Yarrowia lipolytica: one gene and its partners. The protein of the gene in region 4 interacts with the protein of the main gene of each other region in a pairwise test. Links are inferred from orthologs where the notes say so. Each region holds a gene or a part of one and is shown on either strand. Other genes may lie near its edges. The genes, in order: YALI1_C31453g, YALI1_C23359g, YALI1_D13611g and YALI1_B20717g.

Evidence for each region.
Region 1: the proteins of YALI1_B20717g (region 4) and YALI1_C31453g interact in a two-hybrid assay, tested with the Saccharomyces cerevisiae proteins (7 studies listed by BioGRID, with this or other methods). The link is inferred for Yarrowia lipolytica from reciprocal best matches to the Saccharomyces cerevisiae genes CDC42 and CLA4.
Region 2: the proteins of YALI1_B20717g (region 4) and YALI1_C23359g interact in a two-hybrid assay, tested with the Saccharomyces cerevisiae proteins (2 studies listed by BioGRID). The link is inferred for Yarrowia lipolytica from reciprocal best matches to the Saccharomyces cerevisiae genes CDC42 and BUD3.
Region 3: the proteins of YALI1_B20717g (region 4) and YALI1_D13611g interact in a two-hybrid assay, tested with the Saccharomyces cerevisiae proteins (5 studies listed by BioGRID). The link is inferred for Yarrowia lipolytica from reciprocal best matches to the Saccharomyces cerevisiae genes CDC42 and BNI1.

What each region holds. Positions count from the first base shown.
Region 1 is NC_090772.1:3,141,875-3,147,266, forward strand, and holds YALI1_C31453g (uncharacterized protein), read right to left. Parts: upstream 3,450-5,392; coding exon 516-3,449; downstream 1-515. Other genes in the region: YALI1_C31408g (uncharacterized protein), read left to right, coding at 1-132. UniProt on the Saccharomyces cerevisiae protein: Involved in budding and cytokinesis.
Region 2 is NC_090772.1:2,334,099-2,341,748, forward strand, and holds YALI1_C23359g (uncharacterized protein), read left to right. Parts: upstream 1-1,893; coding exon 1,894-7,113; downstream 7,114-7,650. Other genes in the region: YALI1_C23415g (uncharacterized protein), read left to right, coding at 7,500-7,504.
Region 3 is NC_090773.1:1,359,520-1,367,111, forward strand, and holds YALI1_D13611g (uncharacterized protein), read left to right. Parts: upstream 1-1,591; coding exon 1,592-7,300; downstream 7,301-7,592. Other genes in the region: YALI1_D13574g (uncharacterized protein), read left to right, coding at 1-279. UniProt on the Saccharomyces cerevisiae protein: Required for the assembly of F-actin structures, such as actin cables and stress fibers. Nucleates actin filaments. Binds to the barbed end of the actin filament and acts as a leaky capper, slowing both polymerization and depolymerization.
Region 4 is NC_090771.1:2,069,767-2,072,982, forward strand, and holds YALI1_B20717g (uncharacterized protein), read left to right. Parts: upstream 1-1,938; coding exon 1,939-1,986; intron 1,987-2,095; coding exon 2,096-2,181; intron 2,182-2,264; coding exon 2,265-2,706; downstream 2,707-3,216. Other genes in the region: YALI1_B20634g (uncharacterized protein), read left to right, coding at 1-245; YALI1_B20709g (uncharacterized protein), read right to left, coding at 984-1,161, 1,206-1,303. UniProt on the Saccharomyces cerevisiae protein: Involved in development of cell polarity during the cell division cycle, and essential for bud emergence. Affects signaling in the pheromone-response pathway through the STE20 protein kinase.

The DNA of each region.
Region 1 (5,392 bases), on a different chromosome or scaffold from region 4:
TTCTGGTGGGTCGATCGGACCAAGGGTGTTGCTGGTCTATGCCAGGCGCAGATTCTGCCGTTTGGAGACATGGACACAATGGTGCTGTGGCAGACTATCGAGGCGTTGACTTACCAGGGTCTGAAGGAGTAGGCCGGGCAGAAAGCACGAACAATGCCTGGATGCTGTAACTGCCGCCTGGTGCTCGTCTCTGGCCACACCTTTCAAACTGACTTAATGAACTAATGACGCCTGGCTGTACCAGTTCAACAAATTTCCTGTTCGGATACGTCTATCTATAAGAATATAATGAATAAGTTGAAGGAAAAAACTCATGGACGAACCTCCATCGCTTAGGTTAAGGCACTGACCTCTACATTCCCACGTTGCTTTCACATCCCCCAACTCTTTGCAACCTACGATATGGAACAATCTCGATAATGTACACCCACTCAGGTCATTCTATTTAATTCAATAATTATGTAAAGTCCAAATTCCACCCATATTCACCGTTATACCTATACCGTACCCATGTCCTAAATCTTCTTATGCTTGTAAGCCAACAGCGGACTCAAACTCTGCAAGCCACAGCCCTTCTTCAAGAACTCATGGTTGACCAGCTCGTCGGTGGAGGCTCTGTAATTGACATCAACACACAGACAGACAGAAAGGAACGCCTTAATATCCTTGCTGAGCCGTTCGGGATGCTTCAGCTTGGGAGTACCGTTAGTGGCAATCAGGTACAGAGCCTTGAGAGGCTCCTCGTTCAGGTAAGGAGGCTCTGACTCGATCATCTCAATCGCCATGATACCCAAGCTCCACACATCTACCTTAGCACCATACTCCTTCTGCTTGACCACCTCAGGGGCCATCCAGTATGGCGTGCCGACCATGGTGGCTCGCTTGTTCTTCTGGTCCGTGAGCTTGGCGCAGAAACCGAAATCAGTAATCTTCACATGACCCTGGTAGTCCAACAGCACGTTGTCACTCTTGATGTCTCTGTGGATAATGTTCTGATGATGCAAGTGCTGCAGACCTTTACAGGTCTCGCCGGAAATTGTGGCAATCTGCTCTTCACTCAGACTGTTGTTATCAATAATGTCAGTGAGAGCACCGCCCTCCATATACTCCATGACCACCCACAGGTCGTTGGTGCCTCGCAGATAGGCGTCCAGGAAGTTGACAATGTTGGCATGCTGCGACTCTTTCATGACGATGATTTCGTTCACAATGAGCTCCTTTCGGGGCTGTGACGCCAGATCCATCTGTTTGATAGCCACCTTCTTGAGCTGGAACTCGTTGGTCATAGGCCGAGCCACATACACAGAGCCAGACGCACCCTGACCCACCTTCTTGAGCTTCTGGTACAAGGGAGTAGGGTCCTGGGGGTTGACCACCGACTTGAGCTTCTCGGTGATCTGTGCGTCGGTCATGGTCGAGATTCGACGCTCGTCATGCTGGGGCTTCTTCTTGGGACCTTCGAGAGCAGCAGTTGTAGCAGCGGCGGCGGCGGCAGCAGCGGCAGCACTAGCTCCACCAGGAGACGTCTTGGTAGGAGACGTCTTAGTGGGAGACATTCTTGGGTAGCCACCCTGGCCGACACCAGCAGCAGAGGGCTTCTTGGGAGACGTCTTGGGGGTCGTCTTCTGGGGCGATGGTGCAGGCCGCTGGGGCTTGAACTGGTTAGCCGCTCCAAGAGCGGGAGCAGCAGACGTACCTGAAGATGCAGGGAGTGCCTGGGGCTGCTGAGTTTGCTGAGGCACAGGAGCAGCTCGCTGGGGCTGGAATTTGTCTCCACCGCTCTGTGCAGGCACCGGAGGGGCAGTCTGAGGAGGCCGGTTGGCAGGGATGGCCTTCTTGACCATGAGAGGAGCGACGTATGAGTTTCCCGACGACACAGAGTTGATAGAACCACTGGAGTTCTTGTGTCGCAGCATGGGTCGCTGGGGGGGCGGTAGATCGTGCAAAGCAGCTGTGGCCACGGGAGAGGCTCTGTATGCGGTGGGCGATGTCTTGGACGACAGAGAGCCCTGCGACGACGACTGGGTCATCGACGTGGGCGTCGTGGGGTAGTTGCCTCCGGTGTTGCTGGTGGGCGATTGTCGTTGCTGGTACGAGTCAACGTCGGGGTTGATTCGCAGCAGAGGATGCACGGGGGTCTGAGTGCCGCTGCCACTGGCTCCGCTGACGCTTCCACTGCTGTTTCCAGCACCGGCACGCATTTCGTTACGCAGTTCCTGTCGCAGCTCGCTTCGGTCCCTAGGGATCGTCGAGGTCGATGGCAGTCCATCAGGTCGCTCAGGCCGTGGGGGGGCCGCCCGGGTGACGTTGGGGACCGAGGGTCGTCGGGGGACGGATGTGGACGGAGAAAGAGACGTGAGAAGATCGTCGTCGTTCTTTCGTGTGGCATTATATCGTGCGGGAGTGGTGGCTGTTGAAGAGCTGGAAGAGCCAGTACTAGGGACGGGTTTGGTCCACTCCTGCAGGTTGTTGGCCATACGCTGGGCCTGCTGCTGCTTCTGCTGCTGCTGCATGGCCCGCACACGAGCGGCGTCCATTGTCAGGCCCTCATCAAACTTGTTCTCAATGCCAATGCCCAAAGAAGATGCGTTGAATCCCATGGCCTCAACATTTTCCTTGCTGTAGAACTCAAGCACCTCGATGACGGCCTGAGGGTTCTTGGCGTAGTCTTCCTTGGTGATGGCTGACGTCGAAAGCAGCTTGCTCCAGGCGTCGGGTAGACCAGTGAAGCCTCCGGAGATGGGGTCGAAGCCAACGTGCACCTTATGTGTGAAGTTGGTGGGATTAGAGACGCCCATGAGTGGGCATTTGGAGTAGATCTCATCGATCCAGGCGTACAGCTCCGTGTCATTCTTGCAGACGACGAACACGGACTTGAAGCCCGACGACCGCACAATCTCGAAGCAATATGGCTTGAGATCGACACGTGTCACGTTCGAGACCGTGTATAGCGGGATGGAGAACTGCACTGACGACGTCTCCGACTTTTGAAAGTCCAATGCATTTTCCCGCAACACCAAGTACTTTTTAGTCCACATGAGCGACCGGAACGATGATCCATCCTCCTTGACGGACGCGAACCCGGACTTGAGCACCCTGTTGGACGACGCGGGTCGTGTGATGGCGTCTCGTGTGATGGTGGGGGCGGTACGGGGCTCTGTGGGGGTCATGAGCCCGGAAAGGTTTGTGCCGCTGGAAGAGGCGGTGAGGCTACTGGCGAAGGGCTTGGGTGGCGGTGGGGCAGGACCAGGGTTTAGAAATGCTTGGCTGAATTGTGACATCTGAGTTAGTACAGTCTTCGAAATGAGTGTTGCGAGCATCTCGAATGTAGGGACGACAGGAGAAGCTGCATACATCATGAGCTGAATGTGGGCTCCTTGGACAGCTGTGTGTGTCGTAGCGTCTTCATCATGGAAAGTTTGGTATTGCCCATGGTCGGGATTTTTCATAGTCGGGATGTGCAATTAACTCATGGCAGTGCGACGCTCCACGCTATACATGGGCTGTGTATCAAGGGCTGTGTATCACAATGCAACGTCTCTGCACAGTTTTGTATGGTGGACGGTTCGCTCTGATGTAGAGTGGGTTGAAATGAATCGCTTCGTGCTGAGATCACTGGTGGTCAGATGGACCTAGATAGGCAAAATGAGATGTGAGGACACATGAGACACACCATGGCAATATACGCAGTGCCATATGATCAGCCCATCTGCAGAAAGCAGTGCCGCATGGCCCATATATCTGCTCATAGCCTCGATTTTGTCATATGTGACTCCCACCCCCCCTGTGTCCAATGTGTCCTACACGTGTCGAATCGTCACACCAACAGTGCAGATGCACACAGTGCGCCCAAGGTTGGAGACATCCGCCTCCTCTTCACTTTGCCCATCACCTCATAGTCGCAAACACCCATCCATGTTCTATCAGTTCGTCTATCATACTCACTTTAGCCTGTGTGTCGTTCGTTGTTCCAAAGAGTGTCCTTGCGGTTGTCTAATTCTAGTATCGATGATGTGTCGTTTTGCAACTGAGTCTGTGTGAGGAGGCTTTTGTGTTGGTGAGTATCACTGTCGTTAGTGTATCGCTGTCGCAAGTATCCGGTTCTGTATCTGTGAGTATCTGGATCCGTATATTGTACCTGGTTTTCGGTCCTTTGGTGTTGTGTGCGTGTGTGAATCTGGGCCGATTATGGGAAAAAATGCAAGTAGTTAGAGAGAGTCGTTAGAGCGAGTTGTGGAGAGGGTCGTGAAGAGAGTCGCAGAGAGTCGTTGAGGGACTGAGTAATCGAGAGGGCTCGTTCTTCTCCGTTCTGCGTCGCTCGTTGTGGTTTTTATTTCTTTGGCAAAGCTCGACAAGTGGTGGAAAAAAGACAATGATGAGGTTCAGTGGTCTCAAAATCTAGCTTCTGGACTTGTCAAAACAGTCCGTGAGTAAAGGGGTCCAACCGTAACCGCGATAGGCTTTTTCGGAGGGGATACACCTCGAGCAAGACAGACAGGGGATAGTAGTGTTGTGAGGGGAGACGAGAAATAGATAGCTAGCGGGCGTCTAATTACGGGGTGCGAGTAATTATTAGTTTGACGCCTTTTTTTTTTTCTCTCTCTTCTTTTGCTCTTTCTTTGGCTTCTCCGTCTTGGATTCCTGGGTTTTTCGTGGCTCTTTTTACACTACAAGTATGAGCACCCAACCCAACCCAGCCTGAAGTTGCCTCATTAAAAATACTGACTGCCTTCAGACGTTTTTTTAAAATTAGTCTTTCTATGTACGGCAATGACAGACTATAGATGATATTGCGATGGTGCGACGGAACAACTGGAGTAAGAGAAGATCTCCAACCAAAAAAAAAAAAAAAAAAAAAAAACCAGCTTCAAAACGGATAAACCGGATAGAATTACAACCAAAGATCTGCTGTCCTCTGTAGTACCAATAATGGGTGGAATTTACAACAATTCCTCTCCCTAACCAAGTTTTCTCCCTCCCGCATCCCAACCCAAACGCGACGCGAGATAAATAAACTAGACTCACATTAATTGACATGATAGAGGTACATGGCTGGTCCAGTGACGTGAACCGACAGCATCGGAAAAGCTCCTTGACAAACACACACACAGTGACACATAACGACCTAGGGTCACGTGAGCCACCCCTCCTCCCGCCTCCTCCTCCCCCACGCTCCCGCTTGGTCTTCTCAACTCCGCTCTTAGTGCAACTTCTGAGACAACCCTAACCTGCTTGACGGGTTAATCTCCCTAAAAGGTATGGTCATTAAAATGGAGCCCAGCCAACAGCAAGGGCAAACTTGTCCATAATCCACCAAGAAAAAAGCAACAATGAATGATTTTCACATCTGCTGCTGCCGTAGTCTCCAGTCTTGGCAATCTCTTCTTCCGAA
Region 2 (7,650 bases), on a different chromosome or scaffold from region 4:
TGCCGTTACACCGGGAAATCTACTATTAAGACACCCCAGGTGGTTACGGGCAATTCGACATTGGATGTGATCACATGTGATACCATTCTTCACCTGGTGATATCCTCAAAGGACTACAAACATGCGGTCGTAAAGGAGCAGTACACAGGTAGTGGTTGACTTGACCGAGCCGAGCAAGTACGTCACCAAGTTTCTCGAGTGGGCTATCATGCTTTCGAGACGCCGGCGGGCCTCGCGGAATTCTCCTCGATCAAGGAGGAGAATTTACTGTCCTGCGCAGATATGCTGAAGCTGAAGGAATTGAGGTTGAGACCACGCATACCAATGATCACGTTTCACCGCATCCGAACCTCTCACGTCTTCCGACTTTCGGATCGGTGTGTTATGTGTGCACCCTGATGTTCAGCGGGACTAAGCTGCAAGAGACGGCGCTTATAGGGATCTGTGTGGCCATGTCCAATATGGCAAGCACTACCTAGTCTGGGATCTCCTTGAAGGCCGAGTTTGCCAGTCTCCATTTGCGCGTTTCCTGGAACGCCGACCCCTTGCAGACCACATGGAACGTCATCTGGGTCTTCTTGAAACCCGTATGGTCCAAACCTTTGACTCTGAGAACCCTTCTTTGATCCCCCAGTCTGGCGGACTTGTTTCCAACAATACGAAGAACGACATCTACACCTCGAATGAATCGGTTTCACCACTCTAGATACCAGAGACGCGGCGACTGTTGACGGGGGAATGTCCTTCCCATCCTTTTGTAACTGATGGCAGGATGGACATTCGAGATAAAGGCTTGGAACGGGCTGGCGAAGCGTATACTGGTGGCACATACCTTGGACTCGTTCCTGAATGACGACTTGGAAACACATCAACCCCACTGGCAGTGGCTACTGATGGGATTCTCCCTGCCGAGGAGACCATACCCGAGAAGTTCCTTACATACTAATGTGAAAATCGGCAACCCCCAGACAAGCCCGCTCTACGTGGCAAATGCTCCAGCACCAGACCCCAACGCGAAGTGTTGCCGATGGCGTCCCCGTACAGGCCTGTCTACCCAGCATGACGAGTTACTCACCAGAAAGGTGTGGGCTCGCTCATTCACCCATTCACCAGAGAGACTCTCGATCAGTGGATAAATATCTACAAAGTCCATCCATCTGCGACAAAGCTGGTTCCTCTAATCATTAATGAGGATTTCTCATCAACGTATTAGTCAGGTATTACCCTACCGGCTTACATAACAGGTTTAGACCACGCCAAATGTCTGTCTTTAACCCTGCTCTAGGCGAAAATTCAGAATAGAGTTTGTCAATAACACGTTGAGGGACGCGCGGATGAAGGGATAAAACCGCGTTTACGGGGGTTTTTGGGAGGTTTGGTCACGTTATCAGGGTAATCACGTGACAAAACCTCCATCCGCGGGCGTCCCACCAACGTTCTGCGTACGCCAAAGTGCATTTACGACGCATTTACGACGCTTGGCGGGCTCTACCCTAACCCCAATGCAGCAGTGTAGACGCGTCACGAACTAGTTGCGAGTTTCAGTCTCACCCAGCACGCCTAAAAGTAGTGACGAGACTGCGATAATGAATCAGGAGAAGATGAAGGAGGAGAGTGAGTAACCACAAGAGAAGAGAAATGAGTGAAGCCCGCGGCATGTCGGGTTTGGCGGGACCTGATAAGGTGGGTTTGGTGATTTGAGACGGTGGGGTGTGGGATGAAGATGGAACGAGTTGGCAAGCGATTGTTCGTCATGTTGAGCAGTTTAATAAGGTCCATGGTTTGTGCACGGCTTCCTTTTGTGTGGTATGCTACTGGAGTGGCGTGTTCTTACCGTGTCAATGTCTTGCTCTGGATCCAAGTTATGGATCGTAATGCTACAATTTCTGAAAGATGACCTGGCTCCATCTTTTTCTACGGGATACCAAAAGGACCGTGTCTTGGGAACAGTGCGACCGGCAAAATCACAGTTATCAAACCCGCAGTCTCTACATGTCTTCCTCAATCTCACAATACCGGTGTTCCCACCAACGCGATCAGAATGCTGCCAGTTCCACCACTCGCACGCATGACCTACTTGTCACCGTCTCAGCATATCAAGCGAACCTCTTTTGGGTTGTGTCAGAGCAGTCAATCATCAAAGCGCCCCGAGAGCGGGCTCATGGCAATGCCAACTGTGTGAACTTGCTGCCAATTACAACGGTTCTATTATACAAACTTGGCGCTGAACGGTTACAAACGTGTCATGGACAACTACCAACTCTTGCAGCCGACTCGTTTATCCTGCCAAATCTGTTCACCTTCCCGCGTGCTGCTCTTCTGCTTCCTTTCTTTGCTAACCCAGGTCTCTCCCTTCCCATCTCAACCCCGTCGGCAGATGTGATCATCATCGATTGCAACTCGCTATGCGACTCAAAGCTCTACACAAACCCGTCCGTCATCTCGACCGCCGTCTATATGGTCGGCACGGACCCGCTATTCGGCCCTATTCTCGGCATCGTTTACAAAACGGACAAATCACATTCCTGCGTCATCATCTCGCGCCACGGAGCTTCCGGGTTCGTCGACATGACCCTCAGCCACAAGAGCCGATACTACGGCGCAGTCAAAAACCTCGAGGACAAGTCCTCGGCTGTGTCACGCGCTCTAGGTATCGCCCTCCTGCGTGCCTATGTCACCATGGACAAGAACATCCGTACATATCTCGCCAAAAACGCTCTCCAAACGTCCTTCCTCTACGATTACGATGAGACATGTGCAGGAAAAACGGCCTCTCAGCTTGTTGTGGGGGATGGACATGGTCCCGAGGAGATTGGTAAGCTGGTATTAGAATCTGGTGTTGTCGAACCCAAGTTTGTGCGTTCCAGTGCGGTGGATATCGTCTACGAAGACAGCGACGAGACTATTGAGGATAACAACCGGCTCGTGTACCTGCTTGGCGAGCAGCTCGAGCAGCTGTTTGACCCACTGAGTGAGTACTCGCCCGAGGGTGTTGAGGAGGTTTACGAGCCCCCTAGAGACGAAGATACAGACAGACGCGGTGCTGGCGGTGATGTCGACCAGGAGGACGACGAGAACGGTCGCGAACCAAGTCCCACATCGTCCAACTTTTCCGATTCGGCTACACTCACGTCCGTGTGCTATGAGCTCATCACCATCCAGAACAATTTCCGCGACGCGCTTATCTCGTTTTTGCAGTCGTATCTCATTCCGCTGCGAATCCAGGTCATCAATGGCGCCATCCCCTCGCTAAACATGACAAAGTTGAATTCCATCTTCCCACCCACCATTGACGAGATTGCTCGAATTCACAACCTATTCCAGACCGCGCTCAAGGCTGCGACGCCGTTTGGCTCGTCGGAAATCGTCAGAGCCACAGGAATGACTCTTCCTTACTTTTACAAGCCGTGCATGCGCCACGAGGCTGCACTGAGGTCTTTTTCCGATCTCTATGGCGACTACTCTGCGCTGATTGCCGAGTCTGGCTTTGTGCCTCCAGTTCCCTACTCCCAGCAGCGGATCCAGTCAGTTCTGGCCGCTTCTCAAAACCTCACCAAGATCAAGCTGCTGCTGGATCGTATTGTAAAGCTCAGCAACTGGGGCGACAAGCATGATGCGACCATGATGTACTACCATGCGGCTGTCAACACAATTGAGAGTTTTGCGCGGGTGGAAAACCACGTGGTCTACGACAAGCGAGTCTTTACACCAACTGGTAAGATTCTCGTTGAGTTTGCCTCCGGCTGGCCGAGAGAGCTACAGTACGGGTGGATAAACCGAAGAGTTGTGAGCATTTTCGACGTCACGAGTGTGTTTGAGACGCGTGAAATGCGAACCGAATCGCGTAACACACAACAACACAATGGTTCCTCTCCTTCGTCCTCAAAAGACTCAATTCTCATCATCTTCACCGATCACATTCTTCTGCTGGAAGTCGAGCCCTCATACTCGTCGACGATTCAGACACAGGCGCAGAAAAGAATCGCGTCGGGTGTTTCTTTCCACTCGGTGTCCATCGCCGACATGCTAATGCATTCGCTGATCAACGAGGTTGCCGTACCACAAATTCCGCCTCTCAGAGTCAAGTTCTGGGCACCCATATCACACGTTTTTGCTTCCGAATACAACTTTGGCCACAACCTGTCGCTGTTTGCAGTCGGAGGGTTCAACACAGCCGAATATGGCAACGAAGGTATTGTCCCCAACAGCCTGGAGAACGCCACTGGAGGTTCTGGAAGCTCCACCACGACACTACTGTTCACCCTCAAGACTCCGGTTGCACCCAAGATTGTAGAGCTCTGCACTAAGGCGAAGATCATGTCGAAGACACAACCGTTCCATCTCTTTCACCACCAGAAGACTCACGGTCTGAATCTGTTTATGACGGTGCATGAAATGCAGGGCTATCTGTCTGAGCAACGAAAGTCTCCCATTGCCATCTTTCTGAACATGGACGGGTCCGATGGCAAGCAGCTCGCACGTGAACTTACAAAGCGCCACGAGCTGGACGCAGCCTTTTCCATCTCGCTGCTGTCCAACGAGAGTGCCCATGTGACGCTGCACTCCAAGTTTGCCTACACCCTCGACCGCCAGGTGAGTCTGGACTCGCTCGCCAACTTCATCAACACCGAGGTCTCCAATCTGTACACGCTGTATCTGTCTCCGGCCAACCCCGAGATGGTCGAGAGCATTGTGCAGGGAAACGAAATGGTGGCACAGCAGCTGATGGATTTTGCGACGCGCCAGGCCCACACAAAGCCTACCAAACCCGTGCAGAGCAAAAGCATGATTGACGATGCGGCGCTGGTGGTTACGGGCGTGAGCAAGCCCGTCCAGGGAGTGCACGCGAAGCCGCCTGTCCCTGCCAAGGATGTCAAGAGTGCGAAGCCCAGTGCGAAGCCTTCTGCCAAGGCTCCTACCAAGGCATCTCCCTCGTTGAAATCAAAAAAGTCGGTGTTGTCGCTGCTCGGCAAGTCACCCAAGAACAGTCCCAATCCCGAGCTCAACCGGAAAGACAGCATGTGGATGAAACTCAAGGGCAAGTTGCGATCACCCAGTTTGAGAGAGGAAGATGAAGATGAAGATGTGGTTGAGAGCGGTAGAGTGCCTGACGTACCCCAAAAGATCAACGTGCCCCCTCCTGTGCCCGTGGTGCCTCCTACGGGCGAGATGCATGGTCTTGGTATTTCTGCCAAGACTCCTGAGATGGACGGTGGGAAGTTTGGAGCGGCGGAGACTCCTCGGCCAACGCTTGAGAACGACCCCGATGTCACTCCCAAGGTTGTTCGTCGCAAGAAGTCGTTTGCGGCTCTCCGGCGTGGAATTCAGACCAACAGTGACGATGAGGATGGTGCTGAGGTGGATGATATCGGGTATGGAGACGTGGATAACCCGAGAGTGAACTCGGAATCCACTTATGGCGGTGAATCAGGGGCGCACGGGGCCGATAGAGCCGTATCTGGCGTTTCTGACGCTACCAGGGCAGTGTCATCTGATTACGGAGCAGTTTCAGAAGCTACCCGAAACTTCTCCGGCATTCAAGGTGTCACTGGAGACCCGAGGGCGGCTGAGTTACGTGCAGCATCCGGTGTCCGATCCGTGTCTCGACCCCTACCAGTCCCGAATGCTGATAGAACCCCCTCCACAGCTACCGCCATTTACTCTGGAAACGATACGTCAGCTTTCAACTCAAGCTCTGGCTACAATTCCAGTTCGGTCGCTGCAAACACCACCTCTTCAGGTATCTACGATCCCACGGGAGTGTATGCCAACACCACTAATGGTACCACCTCTGGTGTCTACCCTGACGCCAGTACTCGAGCTGTGTTCAACAACACTACGACCAACTCCTCAGGATACAACACCACCAACCCAGTGGATGCTCTCGGGGTGTTTGGCGCCCCCGCTGCTTCTGGTGTAGTTGGTACAGGATCCATTGTCGTTACTGACTCTTCTGGCGTAGACACATCAGCCAGCCAGCCAGGAATCACCTCTAGCGGCTCAATTCGACCAATCAAGAAGGAACCCAGCCATCCAGTGTTCGACTCCAACCATCAATTACCCACATCACATTCCCACTACTACACGTACTCTGGATCGGAGTCTGAAGACAATGTGGCCAACCAAAGACACACCTGGAACGACTCGTACGACTCGGAGCTAATGGGTGGGGGCCATGGACGAAACATGAGCTCGCTGGAGAGCCTGGACTGCGGCGAATCACGTGACGCCAGCGTTTCCCACGCGTCACGTGACTCCCGCAACGACGTGAAGCTGTTTGATTTCATCAAGACCAATCGGTCTTCAGCAGCTGACCCCGACTGCGTTGATGACGTCAGCGAGTTTTCCTCGTTCCACTCGAGTGAAGAGTCGTCGTCACGTGGTAGCGACTTTAATGACTCGCGTCGGTTTGAGGACTCCCGGCGGTTTGATGAGAGCCGGGACTTCATGGCCGAGTCACGTGACCAATCTCGTGTGTATCCGTCGCAGGCTCAATCGCGTGACCAATCGCAGTACTACGACCAGTCACGCGACTTTATGGCCGACTCGACGTCGGACCTGCAGGCGGCTCGAAACTATCTGGCGTCGCGCGACTCGGACGAGTCCCGTGATTTCATGGTTGACTCATCCCGGGACTTTCTGGCTGGTTCATCACGAGACATTCTGCCTCCCGGTACGTCGCGTGACGACTCTGCGCGCCAATTGCGACACATGAAGTCTTCCTCCATGGCGCAGTTCAAGTATCCTCCTCCTCTTCCTCCTATTTCTTCCGAGAACCCGGCCGAAGACGAGTTTTCGTCCTTTTCCTATCTTGCTGGTATTTTGCAGGGTAAGGTTGCGCTTGGTGAAGAAGACGGCAAGTCTTTGGAGAGTGCCCATGCACGACGGACGTCCAAGAGTGCCCGGGTGTACTCTCGAAATCCCGTTGACACCTCCCAGGTCCCTCAGTCGGAGTCTTTCACCTCTTCCATCGAGAGCGGGTCGACTGGAGGAGCTTTGTACCCTGATTTGCGAGACTCGTCCATTATGTTTCTCGGCAAGTATGTGAGGGATCGAAGTCCGGCAAAGGGACAGACGAGGGTGAAGAAGGAGTGGGTGGACGAATACGAGTAAGGCCAAACTGTGGAGATGGCAATGGCGATACGCGTACTATGAGTAACAATTCAACGGTGCAAGCACAATAGATAATAATGCATAAATTGGTTGATAAACTGCTGTGGGCGAGTTTAACACAAGTAGATGTACAAGTATTGCAAATGTTCTTGGTGTTTCTCATGGGGTCGACAGGACAGGTGCAACGTCTCCATGTGGACGTCCGTTATATTGTTAATCTGACACTCAACTAATTTGTTGAAGAGCCTCACCACAAATCGAACCCACGGTCTCATATGCCGAAAAAAAAATACAAGGTCTGATATTATTAAGCGATATGCATGATGCTGCAGTACACTGATCTCATCACCACATCTGCAAAAAAACACAACCAAATCAACCCCCGAATGAAGTGAGTATGAGATAATGGAGGGGACTCAGAGGGGAGGGAGAAAGTCAAATCAAAATCATTAGGCCAGAATACAGGGCGCGATTTGGCGATCATCAATGGCTCGCGGCATGGTTGAGCATGTTCGGAATGTGCCCTGGTGGTGCGTG
Region 3 (7,592 bases), on a different chromosome or scaffold from region 4:
CGCCACTACAAAAAGTCGCACCGATGGCTCCGGTTTTCGTGCTGTGGCAAGGTATTCCCCTGTGACAAGTGCCACGATGACATAAGCATGCATGTTGCCGAACATGCCAACCGAATGCTTTGTGGAGCCTGCAGTCGAGAGCAGACCATTACCAAGGAGTGTGATTCGTGTGGATACTCCTATGTTCCTCGTCACAGTGCCCATTGGGAAGGTGGTAAGGGCATGCGGGACCAGACCCGAATGTCCAAGAAGGACAGTCGAAAGTACAAGCGACTGTAGCGATAGTCATTTGCATTCTACGTACATTAGTATTGTATGTACATTAGTATTTAATTCTCAGACTTAGTACCGCTACTTGTAGCTACTGCATTAGTATTTATCATCAACCCTGCTGTACTTGTACTCTACCAATATCAATATCGGTTTAGACTGGGCACGTGAGCTTCCTAATGCAACGGTTCCAGATGCGTCGATCCAATTTCGAGGTTGTGAAATCTCCGCAGATCGATTAGGGGGTAGATTGAAGCGACGTATTGCTTTTGGCGAGCATCCGAGGATCAGGCTGAAGCGATTATGTCGATGCTATATATAGACTATTTACCCCTGGCTGGGGGGATTCAAGGACGTTTATACGGAGATGGAAGAACGGCTGGATCCTGTTTCCCCCCAGTGAGACAGCGACGGGGGTTCCATGGGCACTTCACGTGACCATGGCAGTCCTATGGCCCTATCTCTGGCGCCCCCCTGGCGTAGTAGTGCATATAATACTGGGTCTCCCTTCTCTACCTGACCCGATCTTATGCACCCCTATGTACTGTGCCGGAGTTAATGGTGGGATGCGGTGAGGTACAGGCGAGATCCTCCAGGGTACCCTGGTATCCTATGTAGTGTATGGCATGTTGTATGTGGTCTAGGTGTGCAATATTGCTAGTTTCGAGCGGTGCTATCTTCCTACCACCCCATTTATCCTACTATTGCTGTCGTCAAAGGGGTCTATAACTACTTTGTCGGCACAATACCAAGCTTAGTGGGCTAGTGGGTTGGTGGGTCAGAGGGTGAACTCTATGGTGGACAGTTGGGCGTGTGAATTGGAGGTGAGGCGCGAAAAAAAAACGGTTGCAGAGTGGGGAGCAACACGGTCAGCTTAGGCCCAGTTAACACGTGGTCTTGTGTACTGCGGGGAGGGTATCAGGGGCCGGTCAAGTTTGCTCCTTCCTAAAGGGAGTATGATTCTGAGACGTCAAGCTCTCTCTCTCTCTCTCTCTCCCTCTCTCTCTCTACTTGCACTTTGTCCGTATATCTCCCAACTCCGTTCTTCGCTACTCGCAGTGCGACTCTGTTGCGCCATTTCGTATCCCTTCTAATAGTTTAACTCTAGCAGCCATCACTCGTGTCTGCAAGACAACCCAAATCCACAGGCACCCAATTCAGAACGTGTGGATCACCGTCTTGCTAACGGATACACAGACCAGCACTATTACGAGACTTAGAGCTGCGACACGAGCGAGGGAGAGAAAGCGATACTGCGACACACACCAGTGACACACACACACACAGTGACATTCGGTATTTAGTGGAGGGTGAGTGAACAATGGAGGTGGCGAGCGGGGGAGGGGGACGAGGGACCAGTGGAGCAAGACCACCGCGGACAGCAGCTGAAGATACACAAAAGAGTGCAATTCCAAGAATCATATGTCCACGGTGGTCGCAAAGGATCCACACAGCCACCCGGGACGTGTACCATATGGCGCTCACTCCTGATGCTAACACAGATATGAAACGAAACGAGGCAAAGAAACACGACATTTCTGGCCCTCTGCCAGACTCGGCGTCCATCCGAAGCAGTACAGCGGGAAAGCTCCAGTCGGTAACTCAGGGCCTGGGCCTGCGAAAGCTGTCCAAACAGAACTCGGTGCGGTCCCTGGGATCAGACACGTCATCCATCTACTCCCACAACGATCCCGACGGCGGAAACTTGCATACCATACCGACCAACTCGTCGGCGTTCTCGTCGTTGGCCTACGACAGCATCTCGCAAAAGTCCAACAAGCCCATCCACGTGCCGTATCTGCCCGCAGCAGGTGATAATGCGTCTGGATCGGGGTTTGTACCCCAGAACATCTCGGCGCCCATTCCACCGCTGCCACAGCAACAGCACCATGGCTCGCTACACAGTCTGCCCAACATGTTGAAGACGGGCCACAGACGAAAGTCGTCCATGTCCTCACACGACACCTCTTCGACCGAGGCAGAATCGACACTCAGCGGAGGATCACGGCCGCCCAGCATCAATAGCGCAAGAGAGTCAAGCATCTCGTTGGCCCGAATGGACCTGGAACACCCTCCGGACGAGGCAACCATCCACCAGCTGTATATGCAGCTCATGAACAAGCGAGACTTCAAGAACCTGCCAGAGGAAGCACGACGACAGATGATCAGCTATCCCACCGACAAAAAGTGGACGCTCATTGTCCAGGACCATCTGGCCGACCATCAAAAAGGACGACTGCGACAGAGTCACCATACACCCCATCTTCCCACACCATCACAGTCCAACAACTCACATTCACCTGAGTTCTACGTGCGCAAGATTCTTGACAATACCATCACATCCAAGCAGCTGGGCAACCTTTGGGTTTCACTGCGAACTGAGCCTGTTGACTGGGTCAGAGATTTTATTGATGCCCAGGGGCAGGTCGCTCTGGCTGCATGGCTCCAGCAGATCAACTCGCGAACCAATAACAGCGAGGGCTTCCTGGACAGAGAGTACGACATTGTGCGATGTCTTAAGGCGTTGCTCAACCTGCGAGATGGTGCCGACCACGCTGTTCGAACTTCCAAGTGCGTGGCACCCATTGTCAGATCTTTGGTGTCCCCACGACTGAGTACACGGAAGTTGGTGACAGACGTTCTGACGTTCCTGGCACATTGGGACGCACCTAAAGGCCATGACCAGGTTCTGGCGGGTCTTTCACAGCTCAAACAGCACCTCAATGAGGTGTCCCGATTCGACGCATGGTTCAGCGTGGTGGAACAGACATTAGCTGGCCGAGGGAAGTTTGGCTCTCTTGTTGGGGCATCGGACGATCTTCGGTCCGGAGGAGTTTCTATTGAGTCCCTACTTATGGAATACTCCCTAGCCACCATGTTCCTGATCAACATTCTCATTCAGGGCGTAGAGGACATTCGGGTGCGAGTCCACCTGCGATCCCAGATGAAGGCCTGCGGCTTGCCTCGTATTGCAGCTCGGATGCAGGCACTCAACTATGATCTGCTTACCGAGCAGCTGCAGAAGTACGACGAGCAGGCTGCACTGGACTTTGAGGATTTGGTTGCTCTTGATCGCCAAGCCAATGTGGGCGACATGACTGACCCTGTGGCGATAGCCGAGGAGATTTGGAGCCGTGTGGAGCACACGCAGGGCGAGGGCCACTTTGTGTCGATCATGCAACACCTGCTGCTGATTCGAGAAGACCCTCGAGAGGACGGAGCTCGTATGCTGCAGCTGGTGGATGCTGTGGTGACCCATCTGGTGATGGATAGAATCATGCCAGACGTTGATTTCCGCTCGGTGGTCAACTTCTCGGTGCAGTCACTTTTGGGTAAGCTACACACTGACGACCAAGCACGGAGGGCGATACTCGAAGCAAAGGAGGCTCTACGGGATGTGGAGATAGCCGAGGCTGAGAAGATGCGCATGGAGGAACAACTGCAACAGGGCTCGGATGGAGTCATCAGCAAGCTGCACCAGACGCTGGAGGAGATGGAGCACAATGCGCGAATCTCTCGGCGCCAGAACGATGCTCTGCGATCCGAGCTTGAGGACGCACGTGAACAGTCGCTAGTCAAGCTGCAGGAGCAGGAGCTGGAGATTCGAGAGCTTTATATGATGCTCAAGGAGCGAGAGGTTGCGGCGGCCGACACGTCCATGGTCAGCACCGAGGGCGGAAAGTCGCAAGGCATCATTGATCGACAGCGAATGCTGCAACGTCTGGAGCAGCAGGTGCATCAGAAGACTGCCGAGTACGGTTCATTGTCAGTTGGCCGCAACCAGGTGGAACCTTCTCCTCGTCTGCGAGAGCTGCGAGACCGAATGGAGGCCCTTCAGCTTCAGGCACGTGAACTTGAGAGCTACGACTTTGACGAAGATGAGTTTGATACCGAGGAGCCCGATGCTTCAACACCTGCTCTCACCAAGGAGGATCTGTATGCTCGTCGACTCGAAAAACTGGAGCGGCTAAAGAAGCTCCAGGAGGCCTCGGGCGAGCTGGCGCTGTCGTTCAACGCAGCAGATGTCTCCAAGCAGGATCTATACGAGCGACGATTGCAGCAGGTTGAGCGGCTGCGACGTCTTCAGGAGGCTTCTGGCGATGTGGCTCTGGCCATGAACGACCCCGGTATTCAGCTTTCTGCGGAGGAGATTGAACTCATTGAGCGGCATCGACGCGGTGAGAAGCAGCAGCAGGGCCAGCCCCAGGCTGCCACAGCTACCCTTGTGGAAATTAGAAAGCCCAAGGCTGTTGCTGGGGACGGGAGTGGAGGTGGAGATGGTATCGGGTCTGGCTCAGGTACTGGAAGTGGCAATGGCACTGGAAACGGTCCTGATGCTGCCACCATGCCTTCTATTCACGACAGACCCAGTGCTCTACCGTTTGCCAACGAGCTTGTGGCCAAATTCAAGGGTGGCAAGGGTGGTGATGGTCATGGCGATATCGATAGTGCGGATGAGGATGCAGGCGACTCCTCTGTTACACGGGTCAAAAAGGAGACCAAGACAGAGCCTGAAGACGTGGTCATCGAAATTGACGACGAGCCTGAGGCTAAGAAGGAGAAAGAAAATGCACATTCGCCAGTCAAGTTTACTGGCGGACCTCCGCCTCCGCCTCCTCCGCCTCCTCCTCCCATGTTCACTGGAGGACCTCCTCCCATGTTCACTGGAGGACCTCCTCCGCCTCCACCACCTCCTCCGCCTGGCTTTACAGGTGGTCCTCCTCCGCCTGGCTTTACAGGTGGTCCTCCTCCGCCTGGCTTTACAGGTGGTCCTCCTCCGCCTCCTCCTCCGCCTCCTCTGCCTCCTGGCTTCACAGGTGGACCTCCTCCTCCTGCTCCGGCGTTTGTTGCTGGTGCGACGCCCTCGCCGTCTCCTTCTCCCCAGCTTCCTTCAGGTTTCGAAACACCCATCGGACGGCCCAAGCGAAAGCTCAAGCAGATGCACTGGGAGAAGCTGGAGAACGTGGAGCATACCTTCTGGGCGCAGCTGTCTTCTGGCGATGTAGAGGCTGACCTGTACAAGAAGGGCATTTTCGACGAGGTAGAGCGAATCTTTGCGGCCAAGGAGGCAAAGAAGATGATTGGAAAGCGGGGCGCCAAGGAGGGCGACTTTGAGAAGCTTTCTGTGATTGCACGAGACCTGTCTCAGCAGATCGGTATCAATTTCCACACCTTCAACGACCTGGGTGTTCCCGAAATTGTCTCCGAGCTCATGTCTGTGTCCCGACGGGTCCGAAACCCCGTTCTCCTCGAGTTCTTGCTTAAGGACGAGGTTCTGGAGATCCCCAACAGTGTGACTCGTCAGCTTACGCCTTACTCTACTCGGTTCGAGGATGGTGAGGTGCGTGAGCCCGAGAAGAATGTGGAAGACCTGGAGCGGAACGACCAGATCTACTTGCAGACGGTGTTTGATCTCCAGCACTACTGGCGACAGCGAACGCGGGCAATCTTGATGACGTGCACATTTGAGAAGGAATACAGTGATCTGGTGACCAAGCTAACGTCTGTGGACGCTGCGTGTGAAACTCTCAAGAATTCAGAAATGCTGCGCCGAATCTTCCTCATCATCCTGTCTGTGGGTAACTACATGAACGACGCCAACAAGCAGGCCACAGGCTTCAAGTTGGCAACTCTGCAGCGTCTCATCTTCACCAAGGACGAGAAGAACACAATAACCTTTTTGCATTACGTCGAGCAGCTGGTTCGAAACTCGTTCCCTGAGGTGGACTCTTTCATTGACGAGCTTGCTCCCGTGTGCGCCATTGAGCGTCTCTCTGTGGAGCACCTGCAGAACGACTGCAGAGACTACATGCAGAACATCTCCAACATTCAGACTTCATTGGACGTTGGAGCTCTTTCGGACCCGAAGCGGCTGCATCCTCGAGACCGCATCATCACACACATGCATCTGCACATGGACTCAGCTCGTCGGAAGCGCAACTTTCTGCAGGATCATTTGCAAACTACTCTTGCCGAATTCTCCCAGATCATGCGCTTCTTCGGTGAAGATCCTGGTGACATGCAGTCTCAAAGCACCTTCTTTGGCAAGTTTGTTGCCTTTGTGAAGGAGTACCGAAAGGCCAAGGATGAGAACCTGCATCGAGAGGAGGAGAATCGAATCTACGAAGCTCGAAAGCAGCGTGCATTGGCGAGTCGAAAGGCTGCTGAGGATGCTGCCGCTGCGGCTGCCGAGTCTGGAGAGAACCTAGTCATGGATGATCTGCTGGAAAGACTTCGAAAGTCTTCTCATGGTGCTCGGTCAGCTCGTCGACGAGCTGCAGCCCGCAAGAACCAGGATGCTTCCTCCAAATTGTACCAGGAGAACCTCATTGAGGATGCTGACGACTACGACAAGTCCATCATCATTGAGGGTGACACCACCGAGATCCGGGAGGGTTCTCCAAATGCCGATGCTGACACAACAGAAGTGCAACCCGCAAGAGATGACGAAGCAGACACGGAAGCTCCAGCAGTAGCGCCGTCATCACGTACGTCTACTCGCCTGTCTGTTGATGTGTCTCGTGGTGACGTGCCAGAGGGGGTTTCGACACCTCGAACTCCTCATGAGACAGAAGACGCTCACACACCTGATAGAGCTGTTCCTGAGGTGGCAGTTACCACTCCCAACGACGACGACGACGATGACGTTGGTACCCGTGCGCAGAACCTGCTGCAGGCTCTGCGGTCTGGAGGAGCATCTCCTCGAGGCCATCGAAGCACAGGATCCGTTGGAAGCATGTCTCAAGGCCGACTAGCAGAGATGCGAGCCCGAAAGGCTAACCGACTGCGAAACAAAATGTCGATTGGCTCCGACTCGGACCTGGGTCCTCACCTGTCGCCTTCGGCGACCAACCGGTCGCCCAGCGCAGCGGAGAAGATCAAGGTAGAGGAGGATATTGAGGCGGAGAGGCGAGACAGTGCGGAGCCCGAAACTGAGATAGAGTCGTCCGAGGAACCCGATTCTCCCACCCCCCGGCGACCAGGTACGGCTTCGTCCCAATCTTCCAGATACACAAATGATGAAGAGTAAAACTACACGATTACATAAACAATGCATGATTGACTAATGAGAGAAATGTTTCCATGGATATATGAAGTTGCAGTCGATGTAATCATGGAGATAGTTACAGTTCGAGTAGAGTACGTACAAGTACCTATACATACTTGTAGCCGAAGATAAAAAAATCTTGACATTTTGTATTGGGGAAGGGTATGTCATGAGTCCAGCACCCAAGTACATACAGTACTCGTAGATGAATGGCTTGTTTCTTACTTCAACTTGTTTCATAAACAGGGCTGATAGCCTGCTGGATAGGTTAAAA
Region 4 (3,216 bases):
TCATGGACATCCAGATGCCCAACAAGGATGGTATTGCTGCTTCCCAGGAGCTCAAAGAGCTGTATAAGGATGACTGCCCTAATGTTATTGCGTTGACGGCCAACGCTGGAGGAGAAGATCGAAGAAAATGCCTGGATGCTGGTATGGTCAGCTATCTGGCCAAACCCATTCTACCGGCAGACCTGGCAGCTGTTCTCATGTCTGTGCAGGTAGCGGAGCGGGATACTAAAAAGATTGAGAAGTGAGGAGGATAGTGAGGGGAGTGTGAGAGGAGGATGAGAATTGGAATAAACTGATAGAACATTAATTGATTTATTATTTATATGATACAAGTAGTAGAATGTATAGCTGGTGTAAAATGAATGTGTATTGAGCGCGTGAGTATCAAGCCGACCACGCAACTGTAGCAGTAGAGACGTGAAGGTGCAACGCGAAAGTGGTAAACATTGGTGGGAGTGCTTACTGAGACATTCGAGGGTAGGACTTACGACAGAAGCCAAGTATAAGCGACTTACAACATAACTGTGCTACAAGTACAATAGTACGATCCCTAAGATTCCATCTCATAGTTGCTTGACGTGCACATTGTACAATAAGTAATTAACCCACCTGGATTGTGCAGCTGTGCTGTCGTTGCGACGGCAATAATCCAGTATGTACTGTACACCCACTACAAGTACTGTACCTGTAGTGTGTCTTTAAAGATCCGTGGAGTAGTTTAACAGTATTTACAGTACGTCCACAATGCATGTTAGAGGTATAAACAGTTTAGTGGCTCTGGTTCAAATTGCAAGGAGAAAGAGAACTTCCACGCTACTCATGATGCTTTGGTCTTGGCCGTATTGGGCGTGCACATCTATGGGGGAATAGGGTATAATTATTGCTGTTTCATCGTTGCTAGCGGCTGCGTACGATAGCTGTAACAGCGGCTGGTTGTATAATTAACTAACCCCCTACCGTAGAATTTTATGTTTGATTCAAGATTATGAGTGCTGGTCAGAGTTTACGAAGTTCATCGTAGGTACTGTACTTACAGTAGACTGGTACGCGTGCTGACAAGGGATCGTGTCTGTGGAGTGATGTGGCGTGAGGGGAGTTCGGGAAAGATAGTGGGCCATACAAGAGGGTGGTAGTACCGTGATAACGTAGTGTATGGTGGAACTTGGGCTGTTCATAGGGGGTGTTTAATAAACATTGTACGCTACTGTACCTGTAAGTACTGCACCGACCCGCGCACTAACCCGACACAAGAAATGTGCCTCATTGGCCTTGGGCTTATCAGTGAGTGATGTGGCCTATGCATGAGCGAATGGGTTGTGTGGCATAGATGTTTTGACGCTGACTGCTACGTAGCACGTAGTATAGAGGACGGCGTCAGTTTGCGGAATGTAAACGGAATGTGTGCGTGTTTGAATAGTAATAATATCCGGTCCAGTTGCCCCACGCGACAGTTTTCCCCTGTTGGCCTATTATGTCCTTTATGCCCTTGAAGTACAGTTTCCAGCTCCCCTGGGACGATTCGATTAGGGGACTTAGTTTTGGCAACGTCAGTGGGAGGGGAGAGGTGGGGCACTCGTAAGTCACAGACGGCAATAGGCGGTGGAAATATACAGAGTATTCGATGGTAGAGAAACGACTTTCTCAGACGAGAAGATTTCACAAGCCCTCGTATTCCGCGCCCCCTGGCTCACGATACACCACAGAAGCGCTCCGTGGCACACCTTTGTGCATAAAAAAGCATAGGCTTCTGTAAGCAGCCTTCTCGTTTGACACCCAAATCCGAAACCCTGTCGCACAGCACAACTCACCACCTCACATATCACACTCCACACATACACACCCACACAACACACCCACATTCTCACACTCTCACGCCCCCACCACGCTCCTTGAACAAGCTCCCGCCCTAGCCCGTGCACAGACCCTCAAAAAGATAAAATGCAGACCATAAAATGTGTTGTTGTCGGCGATGGTGCCGTCGGAAAGGTGAGTATAAAGACAAAACGCCAATTATCAAGGTTCTCGTGCTCCGCCACGATCACGATGTCGTTCTGGACGATGGATTAATGGCCCTGGAGAGCTCCTACTAACGCAGACTTGTCTCCTCATCTCATACACAACAAACAAGTTCCCCTCTGAATACGTTCCCACCGTTTTTGACAACTATGCCGTGACTGTCATGTGAGTATAACGCGTCGCATTCTGCAAGAAACCAAGCCCCCCCCCCCCCCCCCCCAAGCAACGAATCGAGATACTAACCCCAGGATTGGAGACGAGCCCTACACACTCGGACTGTTTGACACCGCCGGTCAGGAGGATTACGACCGACTGCGACCTCTTTGTTACCCTCAGACCGATGTTTTCCTCGTCTGCTTTTCCGTCACCTCTCCCGCCTCCTTTGAGAACGTCAAGGAGAAGTGGTTCCCTGAGGTCCACCACCACTGCCCCGGCGTGCCTTGCCTCATTGTTGGTACCCAGGTTGATCTGCGAAGTGACAGGATGATTCTTGACAAGCTTTCCCGACACAAGCTGCGACCCATGACCACTGAGCAAGGCTACCAGCTCGCCCGAGAACTCGGTGCCGTCAAGTACGTCGAGTGTTCTGCCCTTACTCAGAAGGGTCTCAAGGACGTTTTCGACGAGGCCATCGTGGCAGCTCTTGAGCCTCCAGTGGTCAAGAAGAACAAAAAGTGCATTGTGCTCTAGTTTTTGCATGCTAATGGGTTAACACAACGAAAAATGAATCAAAGCAAGAAAAAAATGTTTCAAGATATGTTTATTGTAGTAGAACTGGGCTTGGATTGTGTCTACAGGGCCTCCGTGAGGGAACCTCAAAACAAAGCATCACTATGCGTTTCAAGCCTCGAGATGCCACCTGATGTCTGTAGTTACCCCATTTTTGACATATATATTATTGAATATCCAAAGGTAGAACCTGACGCGTGCTTGTAGTGCTGCAGTGGTGTATTATTTCCCCTGTTGGGTCATCATTACACGATAAGTACAAGTACGGATAGCTTCCGCCTCTACAATTAAAAGACACGCCCCACCCTTATTAAGCCAGCACATCGCTCAGGCAGATGTTTGAGTCCCGAACTCTATCCTAAGAAATCCATCGAAAAATAGTGGGTGTGCGTACAATACCCTAATATCTACCTTGGTGCAGAAAATCTAATCAGAACCTACCAGAACTACACATCTACACTCACGACATTG